2 linked regions of the Lonchura striata genome follow. The protein of the gene in region 2 interacts with the protein of the main gene of each other region in a biochemical or structural test. Links are inferred from orthologs where the notes say so. Each region holds a gene or a part of one and is shown on either strand. Other genes may lie near its edges.

Region 1 (8,731 bases), on a different chromosome or scaffold from region 2:
CCTCAGCCCTTGTGAATTTTCACCATCTGACATAGCTGAAGGGTTAAGCTACCTTAGCTGTAGGTATTTGGCAAGCAGAATCTATAGCAAGTCTGATTTTTTGTAAATTAGAGGAGACCTTAATGACAAAACTGCAGTATTTTTTTCTTTCTTCCAGGAATCCATAAGAGCTTATGAGAATAGTATAAGAACTTCTGCACAATTTAAAAAATCCTATCAAGCAGAATAATGAATTTAGATGTGTTCTGGGAAAAACCATATTAAACTAAAATCAAAGAGCCATGAAATCCACCCAAGGACCTCCCAAAAAGTGAGGATAATAAAAATAGTCACTAGCAGATCAGACCACGTGCCCTACCCAAAGCAAGCCTATTGACTAGAGGTTTGGTGGTCTGCTCAGTTTGACCATCCTTGTGGACACAATTCACAGATTAGTCTGAGTTGGAAGGGACCCAGAAGGATCACTGAGTCCAGCTCTTAAGTAAATCTCCCTTTGGATATCAGAACTGGCAGAAATAAAGGGTTCTGGACCCAAAACTAAGGAAGCAAACTATATCCTTTAGTCCTTGGTTTGCTGTGCCAGTCTGGCCAGCCTGGATGATTTGCATCAGCTTGGGCTTTAACTCCAGGGAGAAACCAGTGTCCAAAACCACTTTACTTTCCATATTAGATTTGCAATGGGAGATCTTGTTTTATCTTGTTGAAACTATTTGTAATTTAAAAATAGGACTCTGCTTAATGAATTAGCATTTCCTGGATTTTACCACTCTGCAGAGACTTCTCCTTTATTGAGTAAGTGGGTAAGTTCCAGACACATTAAGTCATCTGGCAGAAGAGCTGGTGCCCTGGACAGCATCTTGACTGACATCAGAAGCTCAGACTTCACAAAAAGATGCTTTTTGAATTTACCTTCTCAGAAAGTCCTATTACCATACAAATCCTGACCTTGGCATGCAACATCTTGTCAGAATGAAGGAGGTCTGCCCAGGGTGAATGTTGTTAAGCACGGGCAGACACTGCTTCCAACTCATGTTAAGTCACAAAGCTGCAGAAAAAAGCAGCCATGGTAGATGTTATTCCTTTGCTGCAGCCCTCCTCCCCCCACCTTTAGCTGCAGTCTGTGAGCATTTATGTCCCTTCACTGGATTTATGGATCTCCAGCTGTAGTTGCTGTATCTCCAGTTTGCAGGTACATTAGTTCAATTCTGTGCAAGCAACCTTGCACTACAGCAAACAGTGCAAAGTCTGCACATCTTAACACTAATTCTCCTTCAAAACAGGCACTGAAGAGTGAAATGAAGCACAGTGCTGCTGCCACACAAACCGCTACCTTCTCACGCAGATGTCCTCATACCTCACTGTTTCATGCAAAACAAATTCATCCCTTTCTTCTCCAGTTTTATCTCCCTATTCAAAATACCCCAACTAAAACTTTGGTTGCTTCCTCTGTTCTAAACTGTGAAAATTTTGCTCCTCTGGTGAAAAACACCCACCACTTTCAGAGATGAAAACATTATTTCCACACCATGGGATAGAGTCCTGCAGTAAATGTTGAAGTTGTATATGACATCAATATCACCACACATTAAACATTTACACAGCCCCATGATTCTACAGTTTCTTCAAAGCAAAAATAATGAAAAATGCACACAAGAAATAGAGTACAAAAGAGAATTATCAGCTTCCTCTGAGGCAAATATTTCAGTTCCCAACAGCATCCAGCATCACCTCAGGGATGCTCAGACCAAATGTCCAGGTCAAGCAGTCTAGAAAGTAACTGTGGCAGAAAAAAGGAACCTCATTCCCAAATATTTATTCAGTGTTTTCAATTTTGCCTACACGCATCCCTAACTTTTGTATTTCACACCGTTAGGTTAAAATAATTCCTCATACACGTAAACTAATATACAGAAACCCACAGAAGATTTGCCTTAAATCCAGGTAAAGTGTGTAGGAATAATTTATTATCATTTCCATCCTTATTGTGGCAGTGTCCTTACCAAAAACAACTATCAAAATATCAGAGACAGAAATTTCTGCACTGGGCATTTTTTGTTCAGGATTTGGCTGGTCTTTGGGCCAAAGATGAAAGAAGGTTTACACACATAGACAAAATGTCACTCTTTCTTTGGGCTTACTCTGCCTAAACCAGTCTTTGTCCTTTATAATATCTGCCTCAGTGTCATGGCATGAAGCAAATCAAGGCTTGCGCTGCACAGCAGGATGTGCATCCAGGTGGTGAGGTGCCAATTAGGCATGACCCAGGGCCCGCACACCCTGTGTGGGAGGTCTCTTCTCTGACATGGGGCTTTGGTCTCTGCTTGTTGCTGCCCTCTCCTGCTCAGATTCTCCAAATACTCCACTCCGGGATCATTAATCAGTGACAGGCATGCTCTTCCAAGTCCTCAATAAGCTATTCCAGGTGCAGTCCCTACTATAGTAGACCATCTCCTCTCTTTCTGAGTGGAAAGGGGAGGGGTAGGAGGGATTCAAGGCCCCTTGTTTGCCAATCACACTTACCTCCTAGAGCTTGTTTCATAACAAAATCCATGATTTGTCACTTGGGGTCCTGCCCACCTTCACACCTCACATGCACAGAGACTGGAAATCCTTGGAAGGCAGCCTGCAAAGAGGCACAATTAAAACAGGAATAGTGTCTCTATAATGCCTGATATTCCTCAGCTCTCTTCCCACAGTCTTCCTCCCTTTGTCTGAGTGCAAACAAGTTTCCAGCCCTCCATCCTTTCAGACCCTGCTTTGCACGGGCACCCCAAGGAGCAGAGCTGCATGTCAGCGGCTGGGAGGACTCAGGGGTACACGACGGCTCCCCCAGCCTGGGCAAGCGCCCGGGAGGAGTGCGGAGGAGCAATGCGGTCCCCCTTCATGGCTTTTTTCCTTGCAGACGGGCAGGAAGGAGTTAAACCTTTGAACTTTCCCGTTTTCCCCGCCTAGCTTCTCGCCCTCTCGGTTTGCTCCGAGGTGGCAGGTCCGCCCGGGACCGCCGAGGGGGCATTTGAAGGTGAAGCGCCCTGCAAGTGCCCGGGAGAACAAGCGGGGGATGCTGGGCGATCGGGATGCGGATGCAGTCCGGCTAGCGGGATGGAAAGTCCCCCTTCGGAAAGCCCCCAGCGCAACGCCGGCGAGGGCTGCACCTCCTCAGGGTGAGCCGGGACGGCTCAAGGTTGAGACCAGCCTCAGGTGCTGCACAGCTCCTTCATCCCACCCCCCGCCCGAGTTCAGCATCGGCTCACAGACACCTGGAGGGACAAGAGCTGTCCCCGTCTCCGTGCGCCCGCACCCCGCCTCTCCTCCCTGCCCTTCCCGGCTCGGCACGGCCCGCCCGCCCCGGCGCCGGTACCTCGCTCGGCGTGCTGAGACGGGCCGGGCCGGGCCGGGCAGGGGCTGCGGCAGGTGCCGGGGCTGCCTCTCCTCTCCCTCCTCTCCCCCGGGCTCCGCCGGCGCCCGTGTGCCCGAGGCTCGCCGGGGAAGTTGCGGGCGCGGAGTGGGGGAGAAGGAATGAGTCCACAGCTTCTCCCTACTTTTTTTCCCCCGCGCCCCTCTTTTTATCACAGCATTTCCGGACCATCCCACCGACACGGTCCCTCCTTCCTCCTCCCCTCGTTGCGGGCGTTGGACTCTCTCCCTCCCCCTGCCTCCGGCTCCCCCGCCCCTTCCCTGCGCCGCCCTCGCCCCTCGGTGCCGAGGATGCCGGCAGCGCTCCCCGACCCGCGGAGGGGTGCGAGTGTCTGCGAGTTGTCCCCCGCCCCATCCCTGCTGTCCCCGGCAGCCAGGTGTCCTTGTGCTGTGCCGTGGGGGGAAGGAGGGGCCGCTGTCAGCCCGCTGTAGCATTTTGCAATTGGTTTCCTTGCCTCTCCTCGGGAGTCAGTGTCTGTGTGTGCCAGGGGAAATCTCTGCAAACACGGCTTCCTGCAAAAAGGGGGAGGGTGTGGGAGAGCGTTCTGCATCCTCTGTTCTGAGTCCTTCCCCCAGATCCCCTCTCATTCCCTAGGTCCTGGAACGAGTTGGAGAGGCAAGGAAGAAGACAAGGGAGGGAGCAGACTTTCTCCTCCCTCTTGCTTCGCCTCGAATTAACTGCGGCCGGAGAAGAATCGCCGGCTGCTTGTCTCTGTGCTCTCGCTATCCAGGTTGGGGGGGCGAGGCCGGGGGGAGGGACGGGATGGGGGGAAAGAGGAAAGTCGTCTGTCTCCCTGCGACTGCCGCTGAAGGACGCCAGTGCAGCGACCCGTTGTCCAGCCCGGATTCGGGACGGCATCTGGAGGTGAGGAGGAAGGAGCTGTGCGAGCGCTATGTGGCAAAGCAGAGCAATATCCACTCCAGAGCACCGGCGCCCACCTTTAGGGATGCTGACAGCCGGCTTGGCGCTGGATGGGGAGGAGACGAGTTCTGCTGCTGATCCGCCCTCTTGTCGCCAGCAGGAGAGGTGGGACAGCAACCCCCAGAGTAATATATGGGTCTAAAAGGAAGGAGGGGGCTAGAGCGGGATGCTGCCGGCACACGGGGAGCTCGGGGATGGGGAGCAGCGGCGCCTCCCGGGGAGATTCTGGCACGGCCCGTGGGCGACATCGTCTGAAGGTCAGGAAGGACGCCGGGCCCGCACCTGGCCCCGCGGAAAGGCGTGCGGAGCCAGAACAGGCGAGCTCTGAACAGGCAGCCATCGGGGCTCCGCAGTCTGCAAAGCTTTCAGATGCCAGCCGCAGATGCAGGAGTGCATATCTCTACACTCAGAGCCGTGTCTACCACCTGGGTCTGCCTCAGTGCCCCATGCCTGTCAGTGCTTCAAAGGCATTTGGATAATGCCCTTTATAACACCACTTCATCCTGAAGTGATCGAGTCAATTGGGCTAGATTGTCTCTTTAGGTCCCCTTCCCCTGAACTGTTTTGTTCTATTCTATAGCCTCCCAGAAAACCACTTTTGCAGCTGACACTAATGTTAGTCCAAGAAAGTCACCCGGGTAAGCAGTGCTGCACTTTTTCTAACAAGTTTCAGGGAGGAAAAAGACAGGGTGGAAAAGCCTCTTGTTTTATACCTTAATTCACCCCCAGAGTGAGTGTTTTATACCTGAACAAGAGTGAGTGTTTTATACCTGAACTCACCATTCAAAAGGCATAATGCAGTATTTTTTATGTTTTTTCATACATAACACAGGAGTTTGTCAGCACAGATTACTGTGCTCAAGAAATGAACCTGGGAGCCTGCTGGAGCTGTGTGCCTGGGTTTCTATGCTATTAACACAGTGTTTCCAGATCTGTGGTGCCTCCCCAAGTGTCTATATGCCTTTGAGCAGGGTTTATAGTTTGGGTCTGTCATATCACACCTCACATTCCTTTTTCATCATATGATTGCTCCTAGAGAAAGGACAGCATCCCCATCCCAGACTAGCAAACCTCCATACGCACACCTTGCTCTTGTGTCCCAGAGTCTGGGAAGGAGCAATTAAATACCTTCAAACAGAAGGATCAGAAAAGTGTGAGCTGATAGAACACCCAGTTGCCTAAAATCAGCTTTCTTCTTCCTATTTTGAGAATCCTGGACCATGCTACATCAAGGAACTCCTGCAGCAGTCAAGGGTCAGCATAACCAAGTGGGGCTGCTGAGAAATGTCATTGTTCCTGTTCATAGGTTCCTTACAAACTTTGCAACAGCAATTGTCCTCCCCTCTGTGCAGAGAAGAGTGACGTCATCCACAGGGATTTCAGAAGCCAGACAAAACAATAGGGACATCCAGAAGTCCCTGAAAGATCCCTGAGCTTCTTGTTGACCTGTTTAGACTGGCTGGTCTGTTTCCAGAGACAGCCCACTCTCCAAGGGTCATGTACCTATGGTTCTGTTTCCAAACTGCACCCACATTTTCCAGATTACACAGCTGACACAGAAAATCATGATACTGAGCTCTTAACACTGACTACCTCACAGTTCCCTCCTCTTCAGGAGACCAAGGCACATCATCATGAAATCACGAACTCCAGTGAGATACTCTAAGTCCTAACTTCAGTATCTCTACCCTGCCTCAAGTGCCAGATTCCTTGTACCACCCACAGGATGTACAGATGAAAATCCAATCATTTGTGAGCCTGATTTGGGTACCTCCCGTCCAGGTGATACTCTGACTATTCGGTCAAGAAAGTTCCTACCAGTACACTCTTCACCACATGAGGATCAGGCACAGAGGCAAGAAAGCACACAGTCAAAAGAGATGATGTAATCTATGATCTGCATCTATTCATAGTCTTAGGAAGACTTCTTGAGAAGGCTTTTACCTCCGAGGCAGAGCCTTTCCTCAATTTTCCAAGAAACCCAGCTGGAAAGACAGTCTCGTGGGGATCTGCTAGGTGATTTACCTGCCATACATGATGTCTGATACACAAGAAATAATAGCTCCTGCAGCCATGGTAATGATATGAGCAATGTCACATGCATCTTCTTTCTGATGGCATGTACCAATATCCTAGGTTCATAAAAATTTATGTGTATGAATCTGGCAGTAATGCAATTTTATAAGATCTACTGGATAGTAACAAATCCCAGGAACAGCAGCGTTTTCTCACCAGAGTGAGGGATGGAGCCTGCGGTCTGTGAGTGGGATCTATCCCAGCACCATGGACAGAGAACAGCCGCCCTGACAGCTCCGAAACTTCTCCAAACACCAAAGCCAGTTCTTAGTCTGGATTGCACTGTGTAGCTGACAAATGCCTGCTCCTGATGGTAGGAATAGGCTTGTTCTTGCTTGCAGAACCAGAACAGTAGGAATCCACATTGTGACCTTGCTCGGTGCAGATGAAGAGTGCAGAACACTGAGCAAAGATCTCCTCCATGGAGTTTTGTGCATGGAACTGAGATTCCTTCCTTGGCCACCAGCTGGGAATCTGTGTAAGAAGTGGAATAAGCCAATAATTGAGTTTGGTGACATTTTCCATAGAAAAATTTATATTTGTATCTCTAAAAAGAAGGAAGGGTCTGTTTTCAGACAGAAAAAAATTAAATTAGTCAGGATGTTTCATTTCAACATCTTAAAACGCAGTGTTTGATTATTCATTTCCATATGGTGTTTGACTACTAAACTGAAACCAATGCCATGTGAAAATGATACTAATAAGAAAGCTCACAAACAAAGTGTAAATGTTATAGAAAGTAATTAAGCAGCCGCCCGAAATGAACATACTTAGTTTCTTTTTCTTTTTTCCCCCCTATCTTTTATTAGCTCTCACTATTGGAACTGCTGTGCTGTTCAGTAGGCTGCTGGCAAGACCTGCACAGGAGCAGGGTGATTAGCTTTTTATCAACACAGCTACTGAGACAGAGGAGTCAATACTTGCTAAAGGTAGTTTGTGTACAACAGTTGCAAATCCTTCAGTGGTTTAGTTCGCTGAACACATCTACTGAGACAAATCTACTGTTTGTTTCATTTTCTCTTCAACTGTCAATTCTGACTGCCAAAACATTTCAGAATTCAAGCATTTTTTACCTCTTCAAAAGTACTGCTTTTTTTCTTGTTACATTCAACTTACAGCAGGCTTTAAGGTTTTTATTTTCTAACCAATTTAAAAAAAAATAACATTCTTTTTAAGAAGTGTATGTTTCCCTAAAGCAGGGAAAAATTATAAAAGGATTTTACAGCCATTTCTAATAGCTCTGAAGTTCTGGTCCCTTGAGATTTCTTGAAGGTGAACTCTCTAGTTGAGCATTTGTTTCAGCTATCACAAGACCAAATTTTAGCTGCCCACCCTCAGAAAAACTGAAACAGACACATATTGATTGTTCTGTCTTAATGACATGTGAACACAAGAGTGCAAACCATATAATTTAAAATTTTTTTCTTTTTTATTTTAATGAACACAGATGCCCCAGTCTATTTTATGAATAGGACCCTTGGTAGGCTGCCATTTATAGCCTCTAGCTCTTAAGCTGACAACTTCTTGTTTGTTTTCTACCTTTTCTACTCCCCTAGTCCCTCTATCTCATTCCTTTCTTTGTTTCCTTCTCTCTGGAGAAGTTTTTGCCTTGCCAGACTTATTGAGAATCCCTTCTCAGCAGGACTCTGATTCCTGTGGATAGGCATGATCAGGTAAATCCTGTACCTCTTATCTCCAGGATTTACAGCTGTAGATTACAAGGCTTCCTTGGCAGACAGAAGTTGTCCATAAAGCCAAGAATCCATCTTTATCACTGCAGTGATTAAATAAAGATGCCTCTATCCAAAGTGTATCAAGTTTTTGTCATAAGATTATTATTTCAAGTACTTTTGGCAAGAATTTTTCCACCAGTGAATAAGTCATCCAAACCAGAGCATTCTGGAATCTGTCAGCTTGTACAGGAGTTTAGAAGCAAAGAAGGTAAAAAAAATTACTGCTATATATTTGATGCTGTTGAAACATTCTACTTTGAGGTATCAAAAGTGCTGCACCTTTTCCATGACCAAATCACTTTGCCTTGACTCTTTGCTTCAAGCCATACATGTGTGTATGAAAAATAAACAAAATCATAGCAGAGTAAATTGGATTTGTTTCAGAATTCTTCTGTCAATGGAGAGGGGAAAAAGATGCCATACTTTTCCTCTTTGTTGCAATTTAAAGTGCAAGCAAGATTCAAAAGGTCAAACACACTTTACAACAGAATTTCTGTTTTCCCAGGTAATTAATTCTTTGCCTCGCCTTCTTTTATTACTCTATGTCTTGGAAAACAAAATTATCAGAGGGAAGTATTATGCTTGG
Region 2 (7,970 bases):
ACAAAAACTAGGAATATAACTTGCGTGTTTTGGAGAATGTGCTTGTTGCAATACAATGCAGCTAGCTGAATCTGCAAGGTCAGTAGGCAAGAAAGCCAGAGTTTATTGAAACTAAACGAAAACCATACCATTGGTGGCTCAAAAATAATAAGCTAGCTAAACTATTCCTTGACAGCTTACAGCCTTGACAAACTATATCCAGCATTCCCAGGAGTAGATAGACGAGCCCTATGCTTGCTCCAAAGTCCAGCTTCCTAGAGGTAATCAGGATTTGCCTGAGAAGTGCATCCTGCAGCAGCTCTCCAGCAACACATTATTCTTGTCTGCCTTAGACTTTAAAGCTCTGAAATGCTTGAACAAGTCTGTTGTTACAGATTGCCTGGCACTGGTCCAGCCCAAAGGTGGCTGCATTGGCAGCAGGGCATGAAACTCCACCGACAGGAAAAATGTACTCTGCCCAATGAATGCTGCAAAGTCAGCCTGCATCTGTTGTGGTTTTACCCAGCCTGGAACCCTGAAAATCTCTGAAATAAGCGTGTGTGTGGGTATAAATGTGTATAGATGAAAGAGTCCTCCTTATGTTATAAAATGTTATGACAGAGATTTGGGGGGAAAAAATGCAAGAGAAAGAGTAATGGTGTGACAACAAGCCAAGGTAAAGGGAAAACAGTTTCTGCTCTTCATTCCTGAGAGAAGAAATCATTAGCAAACTGAGTCCTACACCATGCCATATATTTTCCATTTTTCCCTGAGGGTTGCTACAAATGCAGCAGCTGTAGCTGTGTGACACATAGACATACAAATCGCTGAAGTTGTTCACACTGACAGGAAAAGAGTTTTGTTTCGTTACCTTATGTAGTTAAAGCAGTGCAAGCACTAGGCAGAGACCATGCTTTATTTGCCTTAGCACTTTAATCTTGTCATTTGTTGCCATGTCTAAAGCATAGGGAGAAAAATGAAAAGCTTTCCTTGACCTGAAAAGCATCTCCTACCTCACTGCAATAAATCTGGGAAGTGGAGCTGCATCTCATTAGATGTATTTTGAGGGTTCGTGCTGGCTGGATTCTGCTGTTCTTTCTTTCACTGCCCCCATGAGTTCAATGGACACACAGCCTGGTCCCGAGAGCTCTCAGAAATGTCACTCTCATTTTCTAGTTAGATGTGGAAAAAAAGTTAAGCTGCATTTATTTGGGGTTGCTATCTAGCTGCATTTGGTTTTGTAACATGCTGAGTTTCTGCAGCACCTCTTGACTTCAGAGGCAGCCTCAAGCTTTTGCTTTTGCCAGTCAGGCCTGCCTGCATCTTTGGTTTGGTCACCTCTGTTATCTTTTTGGCACTCATCCTAGGAACCAAACTCTTCAGCAGTCACCTCCTGGCTGACCTGTTCTGCACGATGCAGAAGCAATGGAAAACCACTGCTGCTTCTTCCTAGGCTGGCTTTTTTGCAGGGATGTGCAGGTGCCTGGGGGCCTAGGAGAGAGTGTCTTCCCCAGCCATTCCCACCGGAGCACACATTTCCCAGATGGCTCCATCCCTCCCCTTGCCACCTGAAGGGGTGGCTGCCCCATACCATCCTCGTGCTGATCACTGGGGGAGCTGCTCCATGCCCAGAGCCAGGACGAGGTGGGGGTGTGGGACAGGCATGTCCTTGCAGATGCTGTGGCCTGGGCTGGAAGCAAACGGGTCTGGGTTAAGGGACTGCTCTGCCACCCCTGGGCAGCGCCGCAGACCAGCCCCCCATTTCCCCCCCTACCTCTGCTTTTCAGCTGGGAACGAAACCAGCAGCAATTATTCAAGCCAAGCACGTAATCTGGCAGATCCCGCGACTCTGGTTTGACGCAGCTACGCAGCTCAGTGTCTGGACACGCAGCCCAATCCCCCTTTCTCCCCTTGTTTATTCGCCCCGAAAAAAAAAAAAAAAAAAAAAAAAACCCCAAAAAAACCAAACAAAAAACCCAAAAAAAAAAAAAAACTGCAGCGAAGTTGCCAACTTGGGACCGCACCGAGGCGTTTGGGCGTCTGGGGTGCCAGGAAGTGGAAAGGACGGGCGGAGGGAACACCGGCGGCGCCAGGGGAGCTGTGGCCAGGAGCCGTGACGGGGCAGCCCGCGTTACATAAGGCGGCGGCTCCGCACCGCTCCGCAGCGCGGGGCCGGGCGGGGGGGGCGCGGGCTGATGTCCCCCGTGTCACGGCGCAGCGCCGCCGGAGCCCGCGGCACGCAGCGCCCGAGGCGCCCGCGGGCAGCGGCGCCGGGACACGGAGCGCGGCTGCGGGGAACCCCGGGGGGCTGCCGGTGGTCTCCGCGGGCGGGACCCGGCCCCGGGGGGACCCCGCGGGCTAGGCGTTATGTAACCCCCGCCTTCCTTGCACAAACACCTCTCCAGGGAGAGGGGCTGGAGTGCCAAACGCCGATTAATTGCAGGAACTGATGTTATTTGCCTTTTGTTGTTGTCGTTGTTTGGTTGGGTTTTGGTTTTTAAATTTTATTTCTCCCTCTTCTCACTCTGAGCTACAGAACCACAACTGCGCTTGCCCGCGGTTCTGTCCTGGAATGAGGGAGCACCGCCGCTCGCCAGTCGGGAATCTCTTCCCAGTCCCGTGTCCGGGGGGGCAGCCCCGGGGCGGGGGGCGCGGAGCCGCAGGGCGCTGCAGCACGGCCGCCTCCGCTGCCGCGGTGCCGAACGTACACAGACACACTGACACGCGCAGAGACATAGACACGGACGGCTCGCAGCCCCCGGTCCCGGCGCGGGGCCCTGCGCTGTCCGCGGTGCTGAGCACACACTCGGACAGACAGACAGACAGACGTCCCCGCTCCGTCTCGCTCGGGCCCGGCGCTGTCCGCGGTGCTGAGCACATGCACACGGACACGCAGACAGACACAGACACACGGACAGACACAGACAGACGCACGGACAGACACGGACAGACGCACGTCCCCTCCCCGTGCCCTCGGGCCCCGCGCTGTCCGCGGTGCTGATGCTCCGTCGCAGCCCGGCGCGCTGCGGGCGCTGCAGTGCTCCGGGCGGCACAGCCCGGGCCGGCCCAGCAGCGCAGAGCGCCCGCACGCCCTTCTCCCCGGTCGGAGCTGAGAATGGCGCCGGTTCCCCTTCTCCGACATTGCCTTCTCCTCCGGCCTCCTGCCGCCCGCGCGGCCGAGAGGCACAGCCCGGCTGCCTCCCCGGCTTCAGCCGGCAATGAGGCTGGCGGCGAAATCGCCCCCTTCTCCCTGCCTTTCTCTGTCCCCGCAGCAGCCCCAGAGGCTGGAGATAAAAAGCCGAGCAGGTCCCACTTTAAACATATCCCTTTTCTCTATTTCATTATCGTCAATACCGCCCCTCCCCCTGCTGAGCCGGTGCCCGCGGTGGTGTCCCACCTTTACCTGGGCTGGCGGAGCGCGGCGCGGCGGGGTCGGTGGGTCGGTGCCGCAGCTGGATGGGAGGCAAGGACAGGAGGCTGCTGACCTCCGCGGGTCTCCTTCTTCAATGGATCGGGAGCCGTGCCCTCATCAAAGATGGCCGTCCGCTCCTACGTCAGCAGCTTTTAATAGCCCTCCCCGGCGGGGGGAGCGGGAGGGGGCAGAGCGGGCCGGGCGGGTTTGAGTCATCGCCGCCGCACCGCTCCCGCAGCCGGCCCCGCCGCCTCCCGCAGCCGCCCCGCCGCCGCCTCCCCGGGGCCAGGGTCGGGGCGGCGGGCTGGGGGTGGCTGCGGGCGAACCGCCCGGGCAGGGGGGCAGGGGCCCTCCCGCAGCAGCGATTTCCTCCGCCAAAGGGGTGGTCCGAAGAGGGTATCCCTCTGAAGTCCCCGGTACTCCATATATGGCCAATCTACGTGGGCTTCTATTTTTACGTGTGAATTCTTCCTTCTCTCCCCTCTTTTTATTTCTCAGAACATCCTGCCAGGGGTCTGGGTGTGTTATTCTGTTTAGTCTCCCTCTCCTCCCCCCCCTCTCCAAAGTCGGGGCAGCCAAACACGAGGAAATCCATGGTTAAAGGACATGTGTTGTAACTGATCATTTGAGGGACAGGTTCAAAAATGAGAGAGAGAAATCAAAAACAAAGCCTGGACAAGTATATGAACACACACACAGCACAGTGAGCACATCCCACTGCTGCTGAGGAAGGAAACGGTAACTCTGTTAGAGGAAAAGTGCCTGGCTTATTTATCATTAATTAATTAAAATATTCATTCTGAGTGTACCTAATTTGGAGCAAATGGAGCTGTCTCCAGCGTGATTTCTAATGGGGAGGAAATACTTTCATTTCATACAAAACAGTGTATGTTTGTAAAATTTATCTCTTAATGGAGATCGTGATGAAGGTTGGGGATTGCAGTCAAAGTGCGATGCTCTTTTTCATAACCTCACTCATTCTTTGCCTTTCACCCCACAAGCCTTGGCTTTCATTTATGGAACCATTCAGACCAGGAGATGAGCAACGATGCCTCCCTGTTCCCTGCCTCAGCCTCTCCTGTGAGCAGTGAGTGAGCCCTGCCTGGGTTTAACTCTGACACGGTGTGTGAAGGCTTTTCTGAACAGTCTGTGTTATGGCAGAGTCAAAATATCAGTTGCACGTTAGGATAATTCCATCCTCATCCTCTCTTCTTGCCCCCCACTTTTGCCAAGAAGAAGACAGAAGAGAGGGAAGGCTTTGCAGCTGTATTTTGGAGCGCGTTCATCTCGTGTTATGGTTGTATGGGCATGGGGGAGGGACGGGGAGGGGAGGGGAGGGGAGGGAGGTGCGGGGGAGAAGGAGAGAGAATTGCGGGTGATTCCTCCTACCCTGCTCTGTAGTTCCCCACAGAAAAACGTGACTGTAGATCGTGCTTTGTGAGTCTCACCCTCTTCCTACGAAAATATGTCCTTCAGTCTCTTTTGAAAGGAAGCAGTCAAAAGTTTGCTAAATATACGAGAAGGAATTCTCAGTCGAGATGGGCTTCCTGCTGCATTAGAGTATCTAATGAGTTGTGCACATGGAAACCGCAGGGAAGGAGAGAACCTGTCATGTTCCCGGGCTGTAAACACAGCCTGAGATTAACACTGTGCAGACATCCCCCTCCAGGTGAGGGATCTGGAGCAGCAGCCTGATTGGGAAAATGCATTTAGCGTCATAAACGGCAGTTTGGGAAAAGAAACCTTTGCAGGCTGGCTCCCGCAGGGGTTAATTGTGCCCAGCACTCGGGTGAGGTGTGCACTGCGGATGGCAAGAGGAATCCCAAAGCGAGCCCTGCTCTGGAATCCAAGCTGCCCATGTGCAACTTCCTAGCACACAGGGAAAATTAAAAAGGAATTCTCAGTCAGACAGCTCGGTTGATGGGTGCTTCAGAAACAAGTATGATTTTCGAGACAGCAATACTAGCACTTATTATTAATTCATATTAACGGTAGGTAAGGGAAGGATAAGAGAGATTATAAACTGTTGTTTTGGCTAAGCCACCAGCCCTGCAAAATGCTGGCTGGGTTTGGATTCAGCCCAATAATGCCTCGGAGAAGAATTTCAGTCCATTGGATACCAGCAGGGATGAATTTAGCTCTTTGCATCAAAAGTCAGGGAGGAAAATGCAGTGAAGGCAAAATAAAATGCAGCATAACTTGGGGAAAGAGATGTAAGGAATGGTAAAAGGAAGAGACAGCAGAGAGGGAGTGGGAGGAGGATAAGAGGTAGTTTTCCAGTGAAAAAACTGGGATATCGCATTAAAAAAAAAAAAAAATTAAGATTCATTTTTCAGCTCTGCTGCAGCAGAAATCACATAGTTTAATAAAACAACAAAGGGCAGAATCATTAAATAGATCACAAACGTTGCCCAATAAGCTTAGTAGGAACAACTACCTTTCATTCTGAAAATGAGCAAGGGAAGGGATGAACCATGTGCTGTTCAGGAATGTGGCTGCCTCTATCCTGGGAGATGCAGAGGGGGGCAGGCTTTTGCACCGCAGCGCCGGAATTTCTGTCGCAATAAGTGCTACTAAACAATTTTAACTGATTCTTTAGCATCTTTTAAGGATAATTAAAAAAAAAAAAAAGAGAAAACACATGAGGATTTTATTGACTCTATCTAGTACTATTTGAACACTTGTTTCACACTGTGTACAGGGGATATGTGAGAAGAGAAACCTATAAATGAAGTAGGACAAGAGAGAAAACCGGAATTTGGTCTAAGAATGATTCAGCTCCTTCTAATTTATTCAGACAAATATTCAGCAGGCTTAACAAGCAGTACCTGTGGGCACAGCCCATGAATAATAAGGCAGGAATATGCTCTCCTGCATGACAGCAGCAGGATGTGTGCTCCCCCATCACTGGCCAGGAGCCAGAGAAGGGCAGAACAGGCACAGCCTGCAGCAGGTTAAGGGGGGAAAGAACGACACCTGCTTTGTCCATGGTTTGAGATCTGTGGGCAATGGGAACTTCCTGGCTGCTCACAGCATCCCCTCCAGTTCCAACTCGCACTCCTGTGTGCTGCAAAGCTGGGCTGTTAGGCAGCCAAGTGAGGGGAGCACCAAAATGCTCAAAGTGCCACCAGATCCTGGATGTTATTTCCTGCACTCTCTTAGAGTCAGTTATAACACAAAGACTGCCTTTAGTCTCTCCACCTTCCTCACACAGTTTCTTTTTTTTTTTTTTTCTTTTTTCAGCAGAGAGGGAAATATCTTGTTTATCCAAATGCTGCTCATCCTGGCCTCAAGTATGTGGTGGGAAAGAAATTGAACTAAGTATAAAGCAAATAAGAGAGTAAAAACGTACCTGCTTAAGCACTGAACATTTCCCAGCCTCTCATATTTCTGCCTGTTCCCAGGCTGAGGTGCTGAGGCATGCCCCAGTCTGATATGGGCTGTGAAATAACAGTCTAAGTATGGAGCCCTTTATGCAGAACTCCTAATTACTTTCTGTCATTCACTGCTCTTTATGTAACTCTGAATTTTGACCATCAACAGTACTTGCATTTATCTGCCCCAGGCTGCTTCTGATTAAATTGGAGGGAATGGCTGGGCCTAATTTTTCCCTGCATGTTCAGGATCTCTAGATACAGTTAGGCTGTGGGCTTTTTTAAGGACCTGTCTGTGATCAGGTACTCCAGTTTAGGCCAAACCAAGATTTCTCTGAGGTTTATGTTTAAAAATACAGAGATTTAAAATACAATTGCAACATAGACCTTTGGAGATGAGTCCCCACTGATTTCCTGATCACTCTTTTAGATGTGCAGAGTCAGATCCTCAAAGGTGTTTCCTGAATAGTTGCTTAAAGAGCAACCAGGACTTAAATATTTGGTGAGTCTGGGTTCCACTGCTGCCCCCAGCTCCCCCTGCCTTGGCTTGGTCCTTCCACAGCTGTGCTATAACCGTGTCATTTCCTTCAATGCCAGACTTCAGCATCTATTATCCCCTATGCAAATGAGAGGTAGTCACAACATAGCCACATCTCTGAGGATTATCATCTGCTATGGGGGTAGGACTGGTCTGAGGCCTCTAGAAACCTTCCCAATGGGAATTTTAGGCCCAGCTCAGCTTTCATGAGAAGAAAGCTCTGCCCAAGAAAGTCACAAAAGTATTGGACACAAAGGAAGGAGGACTACAGCCATTTGACCTATATTATACAGAGGAAAGAAGATACAGAAACAGCTTTTTCTATGTTCCTATGACATAGACAGCAGGTAAGGATTAAACTCCAATTTTTAATTTAAAACAATCCCCATTTAGTAAAATAAACTATCATTGGATTTTAATTCTCCTCCTGTGCACATGACCTGAATTTGGGAACCATTTCAAAAACCTGCCAGAAACCTGAATTAAGGAAGGACAGATGTCAGACAAAGCAGGACACAGGCTTAGCTGAGAGATGTGAACTGCTGTGTGGTGTTCCTTTGGCCTAACCTTTCTGTGAGCACAAAAACACAGTGCACACACCAATATATTCTAACACAATGTCATTTACTTGCACTTCCCCCTATGATTTCAGCCATATACTCTGTCA

What was found.
Region 1: the proteins of SNAP25 (region 2) and CPLX1 are reported together in a solved structure, tested with the Homo sapiens proteins (2 studies listed by BioGRID, with this or other methods). The link is inferred for Lonchura striata from reciprocal best matches to the Homo sapiens genes SNAP25 and CPLX1.

The regions. Positions count from the first base shown.
Region 1 is NC_134642.1:3,231,001-3,239,731, reverse strand, and holds the start of CPLX1 (complexin-1), read right to left. Parts: upstream 3,616-8,731; 5' UTR 3,359-3,615; intron 2,624-3,358; 5' UTR 2,552-2,623; coding exon 2,521-2,551; intron 1-2,520. UniProt on the Homo sapiens protein: Positively regulates a late step in exocytosis of various cytoplasmic vesicles, such as synaptic vesicles and other secretory vesicles.
Region 2 is NC_134605.1:23,466,912-23,474,881, forward strand, and holds the start of SNAP25 (synaptosomal-associated protein 25), read right to left. Parts: upstream 3,525-7,970; 5' UTR 3,383-3,524; intron 1-3,382.